3 linked regions of the Oreochromis niloticus genome follow. The protein of the gene in region 3 interacts with the protein of the main gene of each other region in a pairwise test. Links are inferred from orthologs where the notes say so. Each region holds a gene or a part of one and is shown on either strand. Other genes may lie near its edges. The genes, in order: kifc3, lmo1 and sox5.

What was found.
Region 1: the proteins of sox5 (region 3) and kifc3 interact in binary tests that used the Homo sapiens proteins (3 or more experiments, as listed by UniProt). The two-hybrid records come from large-scale screens. The link is inferred for Oreochromis niloticus from reciprocal best matches to the Homo sapiens genes SOX5 and KIFC3.
Region 2: the proteins of sox5 (region 3) and lmo1 interact in binary tests that used the Homo sapiens proteins (3 or more experiments, as listed by UniProt). The two-hybrid records come from large-scale screens. The link is inferred for Oreochromis niloticus from reciprocal best matches to the Homo sapiens genes SOX5 and LMO1.

What each region holds. Positions count from the first base shown.
Region 1 is NC_031965.2:37,985,341-37,992,641, forward strand, and holds the start of kifc3 (kinesin-like protein KIFC3), read right to left. Parts: upstream 3,037-7,301; 5' UTR 2,746-3,036; coding exon 2,494-2,745; intron 1-2,493. UniProt on the Homo sapiens protein: Minus-end microtubule-dependent motor protein. Involved in apically targeted transport. Required for zonula adherens maintenance.
Region 2 is NC_031965.2:20,035,892-20,043,766, forward strand, and holds the start of lmo1 (rhombotin-1), read right to left. Parts: upstream 3,062-7,875; 5' UTR 2,200-3,061; coding exon 2,178-2,199; intron 1-2,177. UniProt on the Homo sapiens protein: May be involved in gene regulation within neural lineage cells potentially by direct DNA binding or by binding to other transcription factors.
Region 3 is NC_031981.2:4,135,749-4,143,657, reverse strand, and holds the start of sox5 (transcription factor SOX-5), read right to left. Parts: upstream 3,063-7,909; 5' UTR 3,048-3,062; coding exon 3,004-3,047; intron 2,228-3,003; coding exon 1,994-2,227; intron 1-1,993.

The sequences.
Region 1 (7,301 bases), on a different chromosome or scaffold from region 3:
GTGACCGACGCGCTCGACCCTGAACGCCGTCTCCCTATAAGGAGCCAGAGGATTTCAGACATTTATATCATGTGATTGAATGTCCTGTGACAAACATCAGATTTAACTGGAACCAGCAAACATGAAGCCTCTGAACATCAAAACCTGCATCAACAGGAGCCGCCGGGACCCGTCAGAGTGTTAGAGTTATGGGAAAAACATTTAAAAAGTGACCATATCTGAACAACACTCGTGCCCGCCTGTCCCCGCACATACAGACTACACAAATATGTCTCCTGGGGTTGATTATTACCTGAAGTAAACCAGGGGGACTAAAATAAACGCACAGAGGTAAATGCATGTTCACAAGCAGTTCAAATGACATATTTGCTCCATGCTCTCTAGCGCCTCCGGAGGGTGGGACAGTGAAATCTGAGATCATCCTCACAGTCCGTCCTCTGGCTCAGACTCCACATCTGTCCAGCTGTCAGACTGGTACACACGTCCCGAGCTCATCATTCACGTCCATCTACACAAGTGCAATCAGTTTGCATGACCAGCAGGTGGGGCTGTTTCTGACAGCCGACACATAATTGTTAACTCATACAGGAGCACATACAGGTTCATCACCTGTGAAGTATTTCACACCAGCTTACCTGAGTGTAAAACAAGCGCACTTATAGTTTTAATAGCAGCAAACCGCACAACACCACAAATCTGACAATAAGACCCAAACATGCGTCACAACAGTCCATCACAAAATACACTCAGCAGTAAAAGTTAGCCCTGCTATCATTTTATGGCTATTTCCACAATCAAATAATACCTGTGTTGATATCAGAGCTCCACCAAGTCTGAGTCACTGACCGCGTAAACCCTGCTGAGCTGACCTCTCGTCTCAGACAGGTGATTTTTAAGCCAATCAGAGAGCAGATTTACCTTTGCCTAACAACAGAACTCCCCGTAAAGTTTAATATTTACAACATTTAGTGACATTTTACTGCTGCACTCAGATATGATAACATTTACTGTGCAGCTGTAAACATTCCTCAGTCCGTCAGCAAGTTCAGATAAAAACTGCTGAATCACAGCTTTATGATTATTGAACAACAAAGGGTTGCCTTGTCCTCCCCCGAGGACACGGAAAATAAAATTACCCCACTGTAAGTGAAAGTCCTGCTCTTTAAGCGTTACCCCACAGAAATCACGCGAGTCCCGTCTGTGAATACGTGTCAGGGCCTTCAGTTTGTGTCCGCGTGCAACGAGTCGCTCATTAACGAAAACTGAAGTCTTCACCGAGCAGTCGGCCGGGAGTGTAACTCATACTTTAGGAGCGTTAGTGTGAGAGTTGTATAATCCCTCCATGGACGGGTTTGACCCATGTCTGTTTTACTGTTTGCAGGATTAATCAGGAAATGCAAAGATGAGCGAGACCCGACGCTTCAAAGAAAGGACTCGTTCAATTTTGGTGCCTGCAGGGTTAGAGCCTCAAGCATCCTGTGCTTCACGTTCTCCTCAGTGGGTTTCAAATGTTTAACCTCTAACTGGGCTAACTGGTTAGAAGTGGCTGACTTTTCAAAAATAAGAGCAGCTTGTTCACTAATAAAATCAGTCACTCATGGAGTCGTTCTGTCAGGCTTCTAAATAAATAAATAAATAAATGAATCAGCAAACCGACTTTGCTCTGTGGAAACTTCTGGACAGCAGCAGGATTCAAAGCAGCTCGATAAAAATCACCAAAGTAGATTTCATAAATACTGAAACGTTGAGAACAAAAACACTCCGAGCTCTCATAACTGCCGCTGTGATTTGGGACCATTATGGTTACAGTTTTAACAACATTTACTTCTTTGATTAAAAATAATGACAATCATGTTTATGCGCCATCTTCCTGCACACAGTAGAAATTCAAATTCTGTTTCTACTGTTGGTTCATTTTTTTCCCCCTCATTCAGATTATAGACTGATCACATTTTCATGGAAACAAAATCATAATTTTAAAAAGATTTACTTGTTTAAACGCAGTATTATATTCTATTAGATAACTAATTTGACCAAATTAAAGGTGTAAAAGCTTCAGGCTACAAATGGTCCAGTTCACCTGATGGTCCAGCTGAAGTGAGGCCAACGGAAATAAAGTAAAAATATTTCTACATGCAAACAAATCAGTCTATAACTAGATAAAATAAAGTACTTTAGTTCAAAAACTCATCATGTGACAGTTTTGCAAAGGTCTTAATGCTCATTTTTGTGAAGTCTCTCAGGCTGTACGTCACCTGTTTGATAAATGAAGGGTTCAACTTTACACTCGGAGGTGATTATCAGGGTGAAATCAGGGTGTAAATCCTTAATAAGTGCAAACTCACACTCACCTAAAATGTAACTAAAAGTTCGTATTTCCTTCTAAAATTAGAAGTGCGTCCCCGGTTTCCCAAACTTGTTTTTAAAGTTTTTATGTTTTAATATTTTCAGGAATTAAAACCGCACGCCGTCTGAACCCGACCTCTTCCTCACCTGGACTTGCTTCCTGCTGTTAGGGAGGTTGTGTATGGCCCCTCGCCTCCTCTTCCCCTCAGCTCTGCGGATCATTGATCCATCCACTCGATCCCGGGTCCCGGACACCCCCCAGCACCCGTCGCCTGCGCTCCCATCCTTCAGACGACCTTCCCGTCCCGCGGCCTCAGTGGACCGGTTTTGCTCCGGTTTGTTCCGGTTCTTAATCAGGTTGTGGAGCGTCAGAACCGCCAGGGTGCACAGGACATACATGACCCCTCGCCCCACCCTCAGACTCTAGGGTGCTTCGGGTGGGTGCTTGGTTTCATCACAGGGTTGTTCCAGCCCAGGTGGGAGCTCACAGGTGTCTCGTTTGGGTCCCGCTGAGGTTGACGATCCTCGCTCTAAATGTTTCCTCTAAAAAGGATCAGCTGTTTAAATCCTGCTGTGTTTGTTCACCTCTGTCCCGAACCCCGCCCCGTCAACATCACATCAGATGATAAAAGCTTCTGAACCTTGTCCCGTCCTCCTCACTGCTGTCACGCCAACGGTTATCAAGACGGGTAACCAGAGCCTGCAGCCGCCAGTTTCAGTTTCTCACTGAAACTCAAGACTGTGCAAACGCCTCCTGCTCTGAAGCGAGGCTGCAGAGGCGTGCAGCAAAAACAAAAATCCCCACATAAGAGAAAAGTGATTCGAAGTGCAACACGGACGCAGAGCAAGATGCAAAGTTTCAGCAGAGTTTTCCCTGGAGTGATATTCTGACCTTGAGGTCCACTGCAAGAAAAAAAAAAACCAAAGTTTGTTCTGCAGACCTGCAGGAAAAGCACGAATCCAGCTCCTGCGTGGAGTCAGAGAACTTCTCCTCACAGAGTTTGTGGATGAGCAGCAGGTGCAGGAAACTGTTTCCTCTGTGGCAGGTCGGGTCTTCCCCTCCATCAGACTGAGTGGATCAGAGAAAGAGCTCGAGGGGCCTCCTCTCCTCCCTCCCTCTGTCCCGGGACCATCTGTTGTTATTGCTGCAGGATAAAACTGCAGAGGATCGCCGGTGACGTAACAGCACGACACTAAACGATGGATTTATGTTAATATCTTCAGGATGAGCTACGTGCCGGTTTTCACGTTTAATAACAGTCAGGATTACTTCCAGTTCTTTGATCACTGATCCGTTTGTAGTCACTGCTTAAACTGATCACATCTCTGTAACTTTCACTTTACTGGAGCACTTTTATTCAATAAAGAGACCGTAGAAATACAGAGTACAGTAAACATGACTGCAGCACACTGGTCATAAAAATCTGTAAAGGCTGATTTTTAGAGTGAAGAAAAGCCTTTTATTTTGGAAAGTGCTGTCCCAACTATAATTTTAGATGAGAGAAGACTTTTATTTTGACAGCAGTGATGTTCTAGTTGGTAGAATAGTCCAGAAAAGTTTAGACTTCAGTCTTTTCAAAATTTAAGTATAATTTTAGATCAGAACAAGCGTTTATTTTGGTGACAGGGACAATCTGATTGACATTACAGTCTCATTTTGAATGTGCAGATTGGAAAATCATTAAAGGCTTTTATTGTGGAAACAGTGACCTGCTCATTGTGCCTCATCTACTTTCCCAAAGGCTTTTATTTTGGTAAAGTGAAGGGTTTTAGGTCAGAGTGACCTCTTTCTTTCATGTCGTGGGGATGTCGACCACCTCTCCTAAATAGGTGACATATGTGACAGAGCCGGGCATGCTGGGACTTTGACCCAGTGGGAGCTGACGGTCTGAATCACAGCCACTCAATCCTGACGCTCGCCTCTGATTGGTTGCAGACCTTGCTGCATATAGCAGCGATCCGTCCTGCAGCTCACTGTAAACAGAGCCGGGACAGTTTCTGGAAACGTTCCTGCAAGAACAAAAGGGGGACGTTTCCGGTCCACCGACCCCTTTCAGGACGCTAACGAGGTGAGGGCGGGGCTGCGGTCCAAACTCAGGGTCACACGTTAGAAAAATCTCACGAGGAAGGTCCAGGGGTCATCGAAGAGTTTCCAGAGATCTCAGAGATTTTTAACAGTTCCTGCAGAAGTTCAATGAGCCAAGGAAGACTTTAGTTTTAATTTCTAAAGGTCCAAACGTGCTCCTCAAACACGCAGCGGTTTATTCTACAGCTGATGGTAAACAATAAAGAATGAGGACAGAAGGGGGTCGACTGTTAACGAGGGAGCATGGGAAAACATGCACTCTTAAATTCCGTCCTCACATTTATTTGTAAATTTAGATCAATCCCACTCAGATTTAAGACATTTTTATCGGCTTCGTTACTTTCACGACTGTTTTCTTGTAAATTCAGTTTTTTTTCCCGATCAGTAGTTTTATTTTAAACTCACAGCAGCTCCAAAACAATTTTCTAGCGAGTGTTAGTTAGAAAATCAGTGGATTTTCTTCCTTGTACATTTGTAGTTTTTAAATCTCAGACTTTAAAAAACAAAAACAAAAAACACTGAACTGATTTATTATTTTACCCACAAGGGCTCTAATGCAGAATCTAATATCTGCTCTGTTTTAATTCAATTCAGTTTTATTTACACAGCGCCAAATCACAACAACAGCCGCCTCAAGGTGCTTTGTATTGTAAGGTAGACCCTACAATAATACATACAGAGAAAAGCCCAACAATCATATGACCCCCTATGAGCAAGCACTTTGGTGACAGTGGGAAGGAAAAACTCCCTTTGAACAGGAAGAAACCTCCAGCAGAACCAGGCTCAGGGAGGGGCGGGGCCATCTGCTGTGATTGGTTGAGGTGAGAGAAGACAGGATAAAGACATGCTGTGGAAGAGAGACAGCCTTTCATAGACTTTGATCGACTACGGCTGCTTCAAAGTGGCACGACGACAGTCATCCATGCTGGCTTCCTGACCTGAGCTGTTTGGCGCCTCCTTCCACCAATCACTGAGCTCCGCAGTAAATCAGAATAAATTGCCACTCCGTCAGCAGACAACTGTAACACCTGCTTGAAAGCCAGTTTTTATTCTCTAGCTTTAAACCAGGCTGACTGCTGTTATTGGTATCTTCTTTTATGTTTTTTTATTGTGATTAAATTGTGCTCAGACTGGGACTGTGTGTTAGAGATGAGCGGATTTTCCTTTAGCCGTTTTCTCTAAACTTCAGTCAGAGCCCGAGGAAGAAAATGATGCGTTGCAGAAACAAGAGAAAACTACAGAACGAGATCCCAGCCTGAAACCACTTCCTGTTCTCGAGGTGACCTGAACGCGGCATCAAATAATAACTGATCAAATCAGAGGTATAAAGGCTTCCAGAGAAAGCGGGCTGTGGCAAGTTAATGACCTCAACACGGAGAGGAGTGTCAGTTATCAGATCAGACTCGCCTTTATTATTAGGAACACACACACACACACACACACACACACACACACACACACACACACACACACGCGATGGAAAATGTTTACACACCAAACTGCTGCAACATGATCAGCTGATTAGATAAATGTGGATAAATAACCCGGTGTTTCATTCTCACACCCTCCCTCCACATGAACCTCAGACTTCATGTTTATATCAAGTGAATCACAGAGGAATGTTTACAGATAACAAGGTCAGACTGAGAGGATTCACATGTGTTGTTACTGTGTTTGTCCTGTGGGGGGCAGTGCAGGCATGTGTTCATGTCTCAGGTGTGTTGGTGACTGTAAGAAGCTCAGACCTGCTGCAGATTACCGGAAACCTGCTGCTTTTATTTGAGGAGCTTTTTCCTTTGGAGGGTCATCTGCCCGTCACAGACTTTTAAATTCAGCTTAAAATAATAACGTTTGTTTGGTTTTTGTTTTTGGGGACATTTAGTTTGATATTTTCTTGAAGACATCAGATGAAACCTCAGTTAGTATTTAAAAGAAGACATTTTTGTGACAACTTTGAAGCACATCTGTCCAGAAATCTCAGAGTAGCCCCCACAAACACAGCTGAACCAATCACATCAATCCTTCAGCAAAGTTTTTTTAATAAATGGTTTATGGGCTGCAAACCAGTTCAACACACCCAGGATATTTTTCCTTATCAGGCCGGAGAAGTCTGACCCAGAAATATCAGTTTAGCTCTGAGAGGCGGACTTTCCACAAACAGATTCACTGACGAAGTCTCAGGATTAGAAACTATGAAGAGAATAAACACCCTGCACAGCTGCTGCAGACTGAGAGGACGGAGCTGCATGAAGGAGAAAAAGACGATATAAACAGTTTATTTACAGAAAAGACGGAAAGCAAACCAAAAAAAAAAAACCTGACTCTGAAGATAACGGCCTTCCCGCCATCACAGCTCTGTCATTAAGCAGTGGGAGGATCTGAATGCTGAGCAGTTACACATCGTCTCAAATTAACCTTAGATGTGTGCAGGACGCTCTGCTTTGCTCCTTTTTAAAGATCTTACAGGGAACAAAAGCAGGACCAAAGCGACCTTAAACACGACGTACTCCAGAGCAGGTTGGTCTGCAGTGGCGGTGATCGCGGCAGTAAGAGGGGTTAACCCCGAAGTTACCAGGATGAGCCTCGGTTCAGGATGGAGACCCGGAGCTGGTAACGGTTCTGTTATTGTCACCGAGCGCGTGCGCTCTCATTTATAATTTATTCATGTATCAGGAACAAAAACAGCACATCAGACACGTTTCAGTAAAACCAGAGAAACCAGCACATGAACTGCACTTGTAGGCCGATTTCTACTCTGTAGTCCTGACTTCCTGTCTCCCTCCACCCTCCGTCTTCTTCCCACCTTTTTACTCTTTTCACCACTGCAGCAGCACTTAGAGGGGGGAGGAGGGCGGCTGGGCTTGGTGGT
Region 2 (7,875 bases), on a different chromosome or scaffold from region 3:
AATCATCTGAGAGTAAGGAGCTAAGTTTACACACAGTATCCACAGGTATCTGCATCCGACATGAAACCATTCAGAACGAGTATTTCAATGACAGCTGACAGGGGTGCGTCACAAATTTTTATTTTACATTTTCGACTCGTGACAAACTTGTGCAGTGGGAAAAGAACTGGTATCAGTCACAGAGGCTCGTTTCTGGTAATTGCTTTTGCAGCACAAATTGTTGCAGACTTTTCTAAGAGGAGTCAGAGTTCAAAAACGGTCTGCCAAACAAGCAGCATCATTACTTTGTTGCCAACTTGGATCGCTGGCTTTGAACACGAGAACAGACACACTGATGATCTGTTTTATAGGCCGCGTACGGACTGAAATATGAACACTTAGGCGACTCGCACACGGGCATAGTAGTACATCAATCAAGGAAACAAAAAACAAATAAACTAACAAAAAAAACCAAAACAACAATGCAGAGCAAGCACACATAAACACACATGTGGCCACCTAGACCCACACCTCCACTGCCACAAACGCGCGCATCTGTTTGCGCAGGCACTAAGTGGATACATTAGACGTGAAGGTTGAATTGACAAGCCTATAACTTTGGAGCCAATAAACGCTAAGAGGCATCATAGAGAAAGAGACCAGACCCGAGCCGCTCTGCTGACAACCTGGCCAAAATGCTGGAGCTGCTGGTTGGACCCAGCAAATAAAGGGTGAAGCTTTTAGGCAATGAGCAGCAGGTGATCTCAGCTTTTCTGCAAGTCCTAATGCTCCTAAAAGCCTCTCCCTGGTTCTGTAATTGGGCATCAGTAGTTAATGTAGTATTGACTGCATTACATGCTCCTGTGCATCCTTTCCCACTAATGCCATTTGCATCACCTTGTACATTTACCATATTGCTTAGCCAATAACTGTTAAAAGCAATCTGAATCATGAATCATATAGGGAACTTTTAGCAAGACAGACATCCAAAGGAGACAATTTACAGTTGAGTTAATTTGAGTACATTAGCAGCACAACATGGATTCAGCCAGACAGACCAATTTATGTCTCTACCGCAGTCCTTTTATTGGTTTTTGGATGTGTAAGTGAAAGGATGCTCCTCTAAGATGAATGAAAGATCCATTTTCAAACATAAATAATGGGTCACAGATGCATCCATTACTTTTGGAGGAGGAGGAGCCCTGCATAAACTGGAGTGTACAAGAGAAATATCCCGTACTTTGAGAAATAACACGCACACACACACACGCACACACGGGGAAAAAAGAAGTGTTTTATGGTTGTGGTGGCTGTCAGCGTGCATGCCAGCAGGTGGTCTGTATTGTCAGCAAATCGACCTCAAAATACTCTTAAAGAAGTGACAGAATAAAGACATGCAACACACACCTACTTGGTTTTTAGTTCATCTCGATCAGGTTGTGCAAATGTGTTCAGAGCATATGCACTAAACAGACCCGAATGTGACGGATGCACTGCACACATCTCAACATCGGCTTAATCCAAAATGGGACGTCATTAGAGGCGAATTTGATTTAAATTAAAATTAATTAGATTGCCTCACCCATTAACCTAAATACATTGAAATAGATAAGTAATGCAAGTAGGCCTATTTGGATGGAAAGTGAGCGAACGCTGCACAGGCGCTATCCATAATTTGCAATCAAGTTAAAAGCACTCTGCTGTCATCTCCCATCCCGTGGTGATGTCAAAGGGCTGCCTCGCCAACTTCACAGACGCAAAAAGCACTTAGGAGGAGGAAAGAAAAGAGGAGCCACATGCACTGCAGTCTGTGTGGAGTATCATCAAACTCTGGCTCACACGTCAAAAAAAAGAAAGACAAAAAAAAGCTGCAAACAAATCCCGTTTATAATAAACTCTCCCTAACTGAACTGCAGTTTGGCATTTGTAGGGTTTTTGTGGAAGAGCGCATCAACTTCGTGGTACAGAAAGCACATACGATATTGTTAGTTAACAAAAAAAGGAGGGGAGAGGAAGAGAAAAAATCGCCCGGACCCCATCGTGACTGAATGGGGTTGAAAAAGCCAGCGTTAAGCGGAGGCTGCCGGTGCACAGGGTCCGGGGGGCGACGGGGAAAAAACACTCAGCGTGTAAAATGTCAGTAGTTTGCCGTGTTACTCCCTAGGTTATAGCATCCTACGGTGGTAGACGTTACTCACCCTCTTCCTTGTCCAACACCATCGTCCTGAGGAACGAGGAGTCCTTCCTCGGGCGATCCGTCCTCGGCTCCAGCAGGCTGCACCGCTCGGTGTGCTCACAGCTTCTCCTGGAAATGGCTTTGAAACGCGCGGTTGACTAGACTACGCCTCGATAAACCGAAACCCTGGAAAGATGAATTGCCGTCTGCGCGTTTTCTCCCTCCTATCAATAATAATTCACACACGGAATACGGCGATAAACACGACGAGAAACCCCTATCCGGACTGAAGTGCAGCGCAAACAAATAGCGATCAAACAGCGTCGGTTGCTCTTGATAAATTCCATGCGAATAGAATAAAAAAAGAAAAAAAAGAGGAGGAGGGGGGCAAAAACAATGAAAAGCGATACAAATCTAGTGTCGCCTATCTGTAACTGTGCACACACGGTCGGATCAGACGCTCAGACTGAACGGCTGAGCTCTCCTCGCTTCTTAATATTCTCTCTTTCCCGTTCTCATTTGCTCCGAAACGGCAACTATATTCAAACAAATCCAATTGCAAATCTGACAACTGCTAAAAGCAAACTCGCGCCGCCTCTCTCCCAGTTTATGTGCCGCGCTCGCCTCTGCTGCTACTGAATAAATGCGCGCAGTTTCCAGAGACCCTCGGATTCCCCTGTTAATTAAATCAATTCATTATGCTCAGATCTGATTAGCAGCCCTTCCCCCCTCTTTGAATCAATTATTCAATACACAAACATAATTGCTTGTGCCAGAGGTGTCTAAGTATTAGCTTATTTAACTCCAAGGACACTAATTACCCCTAGGGCAAGGGAACTTTTCTCATTAATTCTGACAAAACACAAAAGCACAGCTAAGGGAAAGTGTGTGTATGTGTGTGTGTGCGTGTATGTAACTGGTCCGCCTGCCAGTCTGAATGTGCGCGATCGAGAGGGAGAAAGAAGGAGAGCGCGCATGCACCTAAGTTGGTATTGATGCACGTGCGCACGCACGCGGGTGCATGTTTCAGGGAGAATGAGAGAGAGGGAGAGAGGAAGAGAGACATTGAAGGAGAGCAATAGTGCTTCACTGGTACAGTTTGAGTAAACATAAAACGCGCTCATTGTTTTTTTTTTTTTCTTTTCCCCCTTCTCCCTACTTTTTTTCTTCTGCAGAATTTAATAGAAATAGCATCTAATTGTGGTCTGTTTAGCAGTTAATTAGTGTCCAGACACAGTTATCATACAGGCTGCAGATAAACAGTCGTTTCAAAAGACAGCACAACAGATGGGCTGCGTTTTTGATTAGTGGGTAGATAGAAGGTTCAGTTTCGAATCTGGTAATATAATTGTTGCCTGTTATTGCCAAGATGAAAGTGTTGCTGTTTCATGGTGGAGCCTTAAATAGCACCACTTTCACTTGCCCTGCGGAGACTGTTAACCAATTAAGGGTGAGATCCAACAAAGATTAGCCATTTAGGAGAGTAGAGTGGAGTATAGCTACAATAATGTAGGTTCGTCAGCAGCCAGCAGGCTGTCTGTGGTGTGAGCTCGCTCAGTCTGTCCTTGCCTTCTGTTACATTTTGCACACATATTACAGACCTCCTCCAGGCATATCATCATTAGCTCCCATATAAGCAAATTATTGTAATAAACAATTGCGATAATAATGCAATTTCTATTCAAAACTGTTTCGGAGCACATTTTCAGTAACTTTGCCGTGGTGAAAGCTTATCTGTGAGATAAAACTTTGATGACGAAGCGCGAGCTAAACTGCTCCGGTTTTGAGTTGATTATAGGTTCTGTTTTAACACTAGTCTGCAGTGGATGAACTATGCATGCTTTATTATTCTGTAATTATCCTGCTCTGCTTTTGAAATAAACATTTTATAGGCCTTTCTAATGTGATCATGCACTACAAATCTAAGGTATAAAGCTGACTGTACATGGCCCGTAGGGATAATTTCAGTTTTCAGCGCAGCAGGCTGTGGTGAGATTGGGTTGGCCCTCAAATCAATGGGCTGATCCTTCTCTGTATAGCGTTCTGGCTGACACGCTTGACTTTTCATCTCCACGGTCACATAGATTGATGACTTATGACCGAGAATGTATGTTTGCTGACCTCTAGCAAAGTGAGTGACACATAATTAATCCAATCACACGGAAAACTGGGAAGGAAATGGGAAGAATGGTTCAGTATCATCAGGGCTCCACTTCAGAGAGCCATTTGAGTTTTGAATGTGAACACCATTTTGTGGATTCCTGTGGATTTGACACAGTTGTTTCACTAGACCCTGCTTGCTATGAAAAATTTCTTGTAGATGAGAGGTGCCCGTGTATATTAAAGTCACCAGCTTGGTCGTCATATTTTAGTTTCGTATTTGAACACACCGGGAAGCCCCTTTTGAATCCATTTTATTGCCATATTTGACTTTTCTGTTGCTGCTTGGTTTGGGCTAGACAATAAAATTATGTCATTATGTTTAAGTAACAAGACAACATTGTTAAAGTTTGAGAAAAAAATCAAGGTTTGTATTAAAAGATGCACTACCACACATTTATTCACACATGTTAAAAGACAAACGTATGCCATCTCCAACAAGGTTTTCTGACATCTTTTATGTTTATGACTATGTATGTGACTGCTACATGTCCTTGGATACCAGGGTTGCACAACCAGAAGAACATTTTAGCTCATGTTGTCTTGCAGACTGCCCTGCACAGTGAAAAGTGACGCTAAAAGGGTACTGAGTGCATTACAGTATAAAGCCTTCGCTTCCTAGCCAACCATCAGTCTGTGATGATTTTGGAGTTATATGGTGTTGACAGGACCATATATAAAGTCCTGTTTTAACATATGTGAAGTCACGGACAAGTTGAGCAGTGGTTCTCACTAAAGGTAGTTCTCATTAATATAAATCTAAAATGATCAATTATAAATTATAATACCTGTGATACATGCTCCAGGTAGGCCACGGTGTATTGCTCATCCTCTCAGCCCTCTGTCTTGGGTGCAGACCCTTTCCTACTTCACATCCAGCAGCTAGGTCAGTAAATACTAGAAACAGGCCCCTGAGTGGGCCTCTCTGATACACAGTTAATTAAAATTCATTTCTGAGCATGCATTAGCCATGCCCATCTATTTATGGGCGGCTTTCAAATGCAACCACTACAAAACAGTGCTCTGTAATTAACCCCACCTAATCAGATAGCACACTAGTGTTGTGTTCCTATTCGTCCTCAGGCACACAGCCATTGGACAGGGGTTTCAGAGAGAGGATGAGCCCATTCTATAGTTCAGAATGGCTAAGCAGATTAAAACCTCATATCAAACATGATATTTACAGGCAAGGCTCAGTGGAGAGTGCTCCTTTTATGTGGGATGGGGAGAGGCTTCAGGGCTGGGCTTTTAAAGCCATGTCCCTTAATTGTATTCTGGCTAAGTGGGATGAATGGTGCTTTTTAATCAGACCACTGACGGGGCTCAGTGTTGTAAAAGTATAGAGATAGTGCCTGATAGTTAAGATGCTGAACGATATGCTTTTAGTCCAGGCTTTTCCAGCTTCCACCGATATTTGAATGCATTTTGGCATTCTGCTGACACCTGTAAACATCGGCGTGATTTCCCTCGTGTTTCTGTTTCTGTACTGTAGGAAAAACTGGTTTGGTAGGTCACTGCAAAAGGGAAAAATAAAAATAGAGTATAGTCACTACGTGACTTGAGGTTTTTAGGTCTGTGACTTAAAGGCAGACATTTGTGTGCTGTTTGTAAATGTGCCGTGCTTATAGTCAGAGAAAATCTGTAAAAACTACACAAATAAAGTTACATTCAAGAGTGAGGCCTGCTTTACTTTGTTACCCTGAGAGTTAAGGTTCTGCTCCTCCTAGTGGCTGATCCCGGCTATGTTTCCCCTCAGACTTGCTCACAAAGGGCTTTGATAGCTGATTTTTAACACATCTCGTAATAAATTGCTAACACTTTTTCTTCTCTTCTTTTAATCATCTTTTACTCATCTTTTACTCGTGTGGAAAATAATAATTATTGGAATCTTTTTGATGTAACCTGGCATGCTCATCATATAGAAACAGTATAAACCCTGCTGTTCACCTAGTCAATTTGAATTTCATGACCAATCACATGTAGACAAGGTGTCAGTTGGTGGGTAGGGAAGAGGGGAGAGTGAATCCCTTTCCCAAACAGTTAATCCAACTTTAATCCTAGTCATTAGGAATTAGACATGCCGAGCTGTCCGGCCGTGCCTCTAAATTACAATCAAACGGTTACCAATTACACAAATTATTGATGGTAGATTCTCTTTTCAACTGCAAATTAAGGCTATTAAGGAAGGCTCCTTTTTAATGCAAAAGTGACTAATTAACCAGCGGATAGGAAATCTGCTGCCCAGATATCAAAAAAGTTCTCAGCACACATTGCAGAAACACAAGGGAACCAATTAGTTTAATTATCAAAACAGCTAATTAAAATTGCACAGTTCCTAATTAGTTCTTTGCTTTTGCCTCTAATTGACAGCATGGAGATAAATGGGCTGCCGATGAAAATGGGGAGAGGAGAAAAACAGGAGAAACTTCGGCAGAATATTTATGCTGACTTTATCTCCGTCTGTGTGGCAGCCCTTGAAAGTGGAAAATTAATGACCTTAATTCCCAAACTGTTTTTCCTCTAACGGTGCTCCCCTCTGTGCTCCTGGTGCATGCTCCTTTGTATGGGCCTGCCACCCTGCCAACTGCTGGAATGGGAAAAAAGGGATACTTGGGGGTGGGAAGGAGCCACGATTCTCCTCCTAATGTGACAGCTCCCACCTAACAATGGAGAAAGATGAAAGAATGGAGCAGATGTAACCACTGGGAGCGTTGCATCATGGGACTGCAACTCTGTTGCACTTTTTTCTAAAGCACTTCTATCATCTAGGAGGGCACTAATTTGTCCAATGAAAAAGAAGAAACTCTGCTGTGATAATATGCATTTGACAGCCTGGCACTACTTTAAATAAGTTTCTCAATTTGAATTTTAGATTGACTAATGTACGTAGGCTGCCTTCAAAAGTCTGCGTAGCCATATTTGTTGGCGTTAACATAACTGTGAACCTTTTTTCTTTATCCTCTCGATTTATCTTTCCGGTTCTCCTTCTTTATTGGTGTGGTCTGTTTGAAGGTCCTTGAAAACAAAGAAGAAAGATGGATCCAGTTACTAAGAAATGCTACACTGGCAAACCTGAACGACAGCCATTTACCTCACGAGATTTTGTGCTAGACTTTGTGTGTATATGTGTGTGGTACCACTCTCTGTTGTCTGTCCTTCTGGCAGGCTTTGTCTCTTTGTGTTCCTGCAAGGCCAACCTTGTCATGTGTAATCCTGTCCCTGTCTGGATGCAAGTGACGCGTGGGTCCTCTTGGCACATTAGTAGATAACTATCGACTAATCAGTTTACTTTTGGGACTGTGTGAAAATGTAAATTACATTAATGCTCAAATTATGCATCAAACTACGCAGATAGGCCAGACCAGAGGCCACATAATGCTGGGATCATTCAGTTAGTGCCTTCTACATGCAGTGTTAATGCACTCTGATTTCCCTGCTCTGGTTCAAATCAAGTGTGCTACGTCAGCCAGTTGGTGTCTGGGAAACTGGAAGGGTCTTTGTATGAAGTGGAGCTCTTCTTTGCAGAAGTCCAATAAAAAAGCAGAGAGATGACAGCTGCC
Region 3 (7,909 bases):
TAGCTCTGTGTAAATAATCATTCTGTACATACGATAATTTTTAATCCTACAACTGTTCATAACTTGCATAGTTCACATTTCTGTATAACTGTATATCTCATATTTCTGTATAGTTTTTTATTTCATATTCTGTATAGTTTTTCATATTTATATCCTGTTCATAGCCTGTACATAGCTTGTACTCACTACAGCCTGTACATACTTATAGTTATAGAATATTCATAACATACTTCATACCGTGTACATTATAACATACCATAATAGACCCATTTCTGTAATATACTTACATATCTATATTATTGCTAATATATATTGTAATATATCTATATCATGGCTAAAGCACTTCTGGATGGATGCAAACTGCATTTCGTTGCCCTGTACCTGTGACATGTGCAATGACAATAAAGTTGAATTCTATTCTATTCTATTCTATTCTATTCTAGTGGTGTTAGTGAGGTATTGTAGGAGTGATGTAACTCTTTGGAGGTGAAATTACAAAGCAATGCAGACATGAAAATGTGGATAAAGTTAGGTATACCACAACTCATTTTCACAGGGATTTATTGTTTATCCAAAAAACTATTTTGTTTGTTATTGGCTTAAATAAGAGTGGTAAAAGGTCACATAAACCTGAGGTCACTACTGATGGTCAGGGTTTTATTCTGAACATAAAATTTCCACCGATCTTCATCTGCTTATCCAATTCAGGGTTGTGGGGGCCTGGAGCCTATCCAAGCTGTCATAGGGTGAAAAGAAGCATACAGCCTGGACAAGTCACCAATCTATTGTAAGGCTAACGCACAGAGACAGACAACGATTCATGTGACAAATTTAGAATCACCTCATCCATGTTTTTGGACTGTGAGAGTATCCGCAGAACATGCAAATTCCCCACAGAGAGGCCCCAAGCAGAAGTGGAGCCCAGGACCTTCTTGCTGTGAAACAACACTGAAAACCAAAACCAGCCAAAACTAGAAAGCCAAGCTTTTCTCACTGTAATCAAACAATTTTAATACTGAATAAAGCTGCCCTTCAATCACTGTCTTGTAGATAATCGTGTTACTATGATTGTCCTAATTTGAAAGCTTTGACATTAGCTCAAGTCCTGTGCTAAACCATTTTCCCTGCTGCCCTTCATTCTGTAAGCCTATGGAGTTTGATTAAAGCCATCAAAGTGGATGCATAATTTAGACGAACGTGGCAACCAAACCAAATGACAAACTCAGCTAATTCTGTTATAGCAAAATTACTGATAGCAGCTTCTAGGAAATGAGAAACAGCCATAAAAAAGTAAAATAAACCCAAAATATTCTGCTGAAAACCTTGAACAATTAAAGATTCAACTGAAGCTGATTCCCCGCAAATGCAGAACTGACGGTTTTCTTTGTTCACCAAAGAAAAACAAATGTACAACTCATGCACGTGTAATTTTCTAAATCCAGTATAAGCACAGCCCTTTAAGAAAAGTTTTCCACATGCTTGCTGATAGATACAATTAATCCCACACAGACCCACAGTGTCAACAAAAACAAAAGCCACGGGCAAAATGTAAGTATCTATAGAAATATTACAGCATTAGAGAACTACCGCTCTCTCTCCTCCGCTCGTCCACCATCCCTCTCCTGCTTTTTGAGAGGCAGGGCGGTGATTGGCGGAAAAAAGCCTCCCTCAATCCAATCCCTAATCCCCAGCAGGCTTTTAAAACATATGACTGGAGGAGGACCAGCGGCGGCTCTCTCATGCTGTCCTCTTCCAAGCGATATTTTCTCTGTGCTGTAGCTGCAACAGAAGCAGCCGTCACAGAAGAAGCGAAGAGAAGCTGTGCGGTGGGGGTTTAAAAATTTAAAAAGGTGCTCATCCATGACTGTGTACCCTGTTCTGCACACTCTGAGCCTTGGAGAGCAAAGTCGCACTGCCAGGGTGCCCTTATTGTCTTCGCTTCTGCAACTTTGACTGCATGGTGGGAGGTATCCCTAGCTCTTTAACGACTTACCGGATGCTGCGCTGCTGAGGAGCCCGTCTTTCCTGTGACTCCCGTTCTCCACTGGTCTCTCTCACTGAAAGACAGGGAGGTGATGGAGGTCGGTAGGGGGGTGAAAGACTGCTGCTGCCGCCGCTGCTGCTGCTGGTGATGGTGGTTTGGGTGCTCACATTGATTTGTGTCACTTCTCTGTCTCTCTCTCCCTCTTGCCACACCACCTCTTTTCCACTCTCTCTCTTCACTTCACTTCACATTACACACACATGCATGCACACATACAGGACAAGATTTGGGCAAATTACACAAAGCTGAGACACTAAGGGCAGGAGAAGTCCATTTGTTTCCTCTTCACAACAGCTACTCCTCAAGTCAAGACATTTCTCTTACCAAGAACTAACTATTAAAAGTCTACAACTGATGTGCAACCAGAAGGTAAAATCTAAAACATAGGAGGTAAAATCTGACCTGAAGCTGTAGACTGTCAAGAGGAATAACTTTAAATGTGCCACTATCATAAGTTGTAAAACACTTCAAAACCACAAGCTTTATATTCCATCTGCCTCGGTCACCCTTAGAACCAGGTTTCTGCCAGCTACAGTAAGTACGGCTCCTTTGAATGACTACCAGGCTAGCAAGTAATACCAATTTTAAATGTTGCCTTGTAGTAGGTGGGTTTACTCAAAAAAAAAAAAAAAAAAAAAAACCCAGACGTGTAATGTAAAATCCTCAGTGTCACCTGCCCTGCACTAAACTGCGGGGGAGAAACCACACCTTGAGCCGGAATAGTTGCAGTCAGTCATTTAAATGATTTGGTGACGTTTACATTTAGCCCGAGGCTAAACTTTGACCTACAATGAAAGCAAGCTAGTCCAAAAATGGGATATTTTCGCTTAAAAGCAGTTGTGGCTACTATTTCTTTTTTTAGTACGTCTACTGCTCTCGAAGTATAATGGTCAACTTTCAGAATAAAACACTCACCTTTAGAAAGAAAAACAAGAAAAAGAAGAAAAATGTTCTCACACCTGTTAAGCTCGCGAGGACCTTGACTAAACTGTCTAATTTGCATACATCGCAGTGCCACTCTCCTTCTTCCCCATTGGTCCAAATCCCTCTTTCCTAGTTCACTCATTGGCTGATTTAATTCAGATTTTTCATTTTTGAAAATGACATCGCATACTTAATTTAACTTGAACTTGAACATTGGAAACTAAGTAAATTTGGCAGGCGGTAAATATTGGGGGTTTTCTTATATGTTACGTAGCCTTTTTTATGTGGTGCCGAAATTAATTAAAAACTGGTCCTCGTCCAGACTGCGAAAATTCACATGAAGGCCAGAAAAGTGACTCAATAAGAGGAGAAACGTTTGCCACATGGTTTGTGAAGTAGAAGCCAGACAGAAAAATATATCAGGCAAAAATAGGACATGTTTTTGCCTAGATAACCTGTTTGATAAGACAATGGTATTTGGTTGTAACCATTAGCTCATGTCAATGAAATTGGGACAACTTATGCATTTATTAGACTTTGATAACTTGTGAAATAAAGCTAATTATTTATCATACAGTACTGTGTAAAAGTCTCAAGGCAAACTAAATTTCTTTGTATTTTGTTTTCAAAGTACCTTCTTGTAAGTTTTTTTTTATGCTCTTGAGCAATATTTCTCAAGGATTTCTGAGGGGTTTTCAAAGTTTGGACATTGGCTGCTTTTTCACTCATTTTCACTCCAGTCCTTGTATCTGACCATTTTCAGAGAAGTGTTTTAAACACTGACCTATGAATCATTCCAGTGTCAAAAAGACACCTAACTCAAGCAGTGAACCAATGTTGTGTCTAGACATGGCAGATAATTTAGCAAATAGCCAATTTTAAATAGCATCTGTAGGCACCTTGTTGCTAGTAGTTTGTTGCAAAAACACATAATTTGTATCCATTTCTTTAGCTGAATCTATGAAAAATACCAAAGATAAGACAATTAGACAGGCATGTGTTTGTGCACCAACATTGTGATTCCCAAATGCATTGAGTGAAAATGTGGGATATATTGGCAGGTTGTCCTTTAAAGCAATTGAGGAAACTACATGCGTTCACCATCCAAAGAAGAGCTTTAAATGTTCCTCAGCCTGGAGAACTAATTCTAAAGACTGCTTAAAATTACAAGAAAGCCTGCTAAGGTGATGATACCAAATACTGAATTTCAAACTCATTATAATTGTACAAACTATGGTTAGGGCTTAAAAACTGTACTTTGCACATGTTTCAGTCAATCAATGGATATTGATCACATACTGTGATTTCATTTCACAAAATGACAGCATGAAAACACCCCATGAAGATTCCATATGGGTTCACACTGCTCCCTATCTTGAAAATCATCAGATAGTATTCAAATAAGAAGAGACTCATGACAAATGCACAAATGGACTAGTCTGATTTAAAGTTTGAGCCACAACTTTTTGTGCTATTGTTTAACACTCAGCCAAAATTTTTTTTAAAATGGCAATAACTATAACAATAAATGCATGCTGGGCACAAGTCAAAATTATTCTGCGGCTTTCTAACAGGGTTAGACCACATTTGTGATGCTACATTAACAACTGCATAAGCCGTTAAGTACAATTTTCCTGGATGTGAAAAATGTTGGCACCCACCAAAGAGATAATGACCATTCACCAAAGGAGAATCACCAGTACTGTGATACAAATATTGCCATTTTTTAAATGTTGAATATGATTTTGTATAGCCATAAACAACAGGCAAATGTGCAGACTTACATCAAGTAAATTAACACAGACTTGTTTAAACAACATGCATAGCCAGTTGTGCTTAGTTCAGTTTTATTGATACACCACTAAATCACAACAAAAGTCACTTCAAGGCACTTTATATTCTAAGGTAAAGGCCCTACAATAATAAAGAGAAAATCCCAACAATCAAATAACCTCCTATGAGCAAGCACTCGATGACAGTGGGAAGGAAAAACGTCCTTTTACCAGGAAGAAAACTCTGGCAGAAGCAGTTTCAGGGAGGGGCGCCGATCTGCAATGACCTGTTGGGGGCTTAAGCACATAATAACACCCAATAAACACCCATTGTTAGCCAGGAAAAACCCTGCTGTTCTTTTAAAGTAGCGCCTTAAAGCAACTGTTCCTGGGATTTGGCTCTATATAAATAAAATTGAATTGAACCAAATAAAAAAAAAAACTTCTTTTGAGTAGTTTGACCGATTTATCTCTTTGTCTTTTTTTTCTCCAGGAGTGCTTCTGATTGATGTAGGGTCTTTTCTCAATTATGTTTTACTAAGTCGCCCAATCAAAGAACAATATGTAGGTAATGGCATCCCCCTGCTGATACTGACTGAGCTGGGAGCTGCTGGAAGACTGGGCGCCACAACCAAACAGGCATCAGACACAGGGCTTCTTAACCAGGAAGGTAAGTAATGACCGAGCTGTAGCTCATAGCAAGAAGGTGGAGTCAGTGATAAATAGTCAGTCTTTCCCTGGAGTCTGAGAGAGCAAGGTGCTCACTGGTCATTCACAAATGCAGATCAAATCAAAAAGGGGGAGAAATGGGAAACATCATTTTCAGGTTCTCAAGAAAATATCACAAGCTAATACAGAGCAATCACTGCCCAGCATCTAACCAAATTTACTCACACTCAGTGGTTAAAATCACATATTATTTGCCGTTGTCAGACCTCGGCTGCTTTACATGTATAAAAGGTTTCAGCCTATTTTGCACCATTAAAACATGAGTGAGCGGGTATCCTGTGAAAGAATGCCTTTCTCTGCAAATGCACAACACAGGAAGGACAGGCTGTACAGTACTCATTAAGTCTCTTGAAGTCTTTAAGGGTGCTACCAGCCTGCAGCAAAAATCCATTCACAAATTTTCTACTCTCATTTTTGTTAAATCGATAGTAACAGTCTACTGCCACGCTGGAATATTCTTCATCCGGACAAACAATTGTGATGTAAGTTGTTGGTATTGATTTAATCATTAAAAGGGTCCAAAAATATATACTTTTTTTTCTTAAACATATTTTTGGGATGCAGAGACTTGGAAAAGCTTGGCGATATCATGGTGGAGAGGACCGATCAATAGACACTTTCTGTTGTTTTCTCCTTTATTTGCCAGCCATCTGTAGCTCCCAGATAAGCTTCCCTGTCTTGCACTTAGTAACAGCATATTTTATAAAATATGTTAGCGTTTAAGCATTTCACATTGATTAGCGGGATCTACTTTTTCCTTTGTGATGGTCACCAGCTGCGAATTGTCTTTTTTTTCCAAGCTTCTTATTTGCTGTTTCACTCATCACTCATCACTGTTTCACTCAACCAAAATGATTCACCCTAAATCACTGTTACCTCGCTCTCCATCCATGTATGCTTAGTTGTTTCTAATGTGCGTCCCGCTGCCCACTGTACCTTGTAAATGCCACAGTATGCCTTTGCAGAGGAGAAAGAGGGCTCAGGGGCAATCAGCAGAAGCGTGGGGGCAGAGCGGATGCGCTTCAAAGGCTGTCAAAACTATATTATATGGTTGATCCCTGTCCAATTCACTTTCACAGTTCAATAGCTGCTGTATGTTAAAGCTGAAAAACAAAGACAATCATTGGTGTCTCATCATTCTAAAGTTAGCGCACAAGAGGCTTTGTCTGTGTGTGTTAGGGAGGAGGTTGGGGAGGCGGTCAAACAAGGGAAAGTCTAAGCAGAGTGACCGCATAGGTCAGGTTTGACACACTTTATTATTCATTCACTGTCTGTCCTCAGCTGTGCTTAGCTCATCAGCGCGCGCGCACACACACACACACACACTCACACACACACACACACACACACACACACACAGAGTTTCCCCTAGGTGCGGCTTTTACTGCACATATGCGCCTGGACGATGCACAAATGTCAAGAGCAATAACTGGGATGTCACTCCAAATTCACTCTCCTCTCTTCAGTGTTTAGCAGCTAGGTAACTCAGGGATCTGTCTTTCTCTCTGTCTCTCTCTCCTATGGTGTGAGTGTAGTTCTACATACGTGTGAGTGTGCCTGCGTGTGCCCTAACGTCTGAAGGTCTATGATGTTTTTGTTTTTTCAGTTCAGTTCAATTTACCTTCAGGTGCTTGAGGATGACTGCTAAATTATCAATATTATTACAGTATAAACATATAATCATTTCTCTATTTTAAAGGTCCCTTGTATCTTTAATATCACAGCTAGAAATTTTAACCACCATCATCCTGTAAGTCTTTGTCTTCTTAATGCCAACAACAGTATTGCAAAAAAAGTTGTAACAGGGACAACAAAAGACTGCAGAAGTTGTATGATGATTAAAAAAAGAACCAGTAGTTCGAGTAGGTATTTTAGAAGTACATTTGTACCTAGAGTATATAGCACATTTCTAAAGTGCTTAAGCCTTACACATACAATAATACTTTTATTGTATGCCTAAGCACTTTGTCTAATGTTCATGCACACTGTCATAGTCTGATGAATGCATGGAGGCACTCCCAGTTTAGTATATTACCCAAGGATACTTTGACATGCACACTGGGATCAAACCACTGACTGTCTAGTTAGTAGATGACTTGATGCCATTCTGGTTGCAGTGTCACAGGTTGCAGATTCCTGATTTGAACCCGGTTGTGTCTTTCTGCATGCTCATCCTGTGCCTTTGTGGGATTCCTCCCAAGTGTTCTGCTCTCTGCTCAGTATCCAAAGACACGATCATTGTTGGGTTCTCTGTTAGCCCTGTGATAGAACGAGGCCTGCGCTCCAAAGCAGGGTTTTGTCTCATCTAAGCAACTTCAGGATTGACTCTGGGTTTTCTGTACTACAAAGGTGGTTCACCTTTTTAATGGGTATCACCACAGTAACTTATGCTGTGAACCTAACCTGCTCCTTAGAGGTCAATAGGTAAAAATTCACCTAT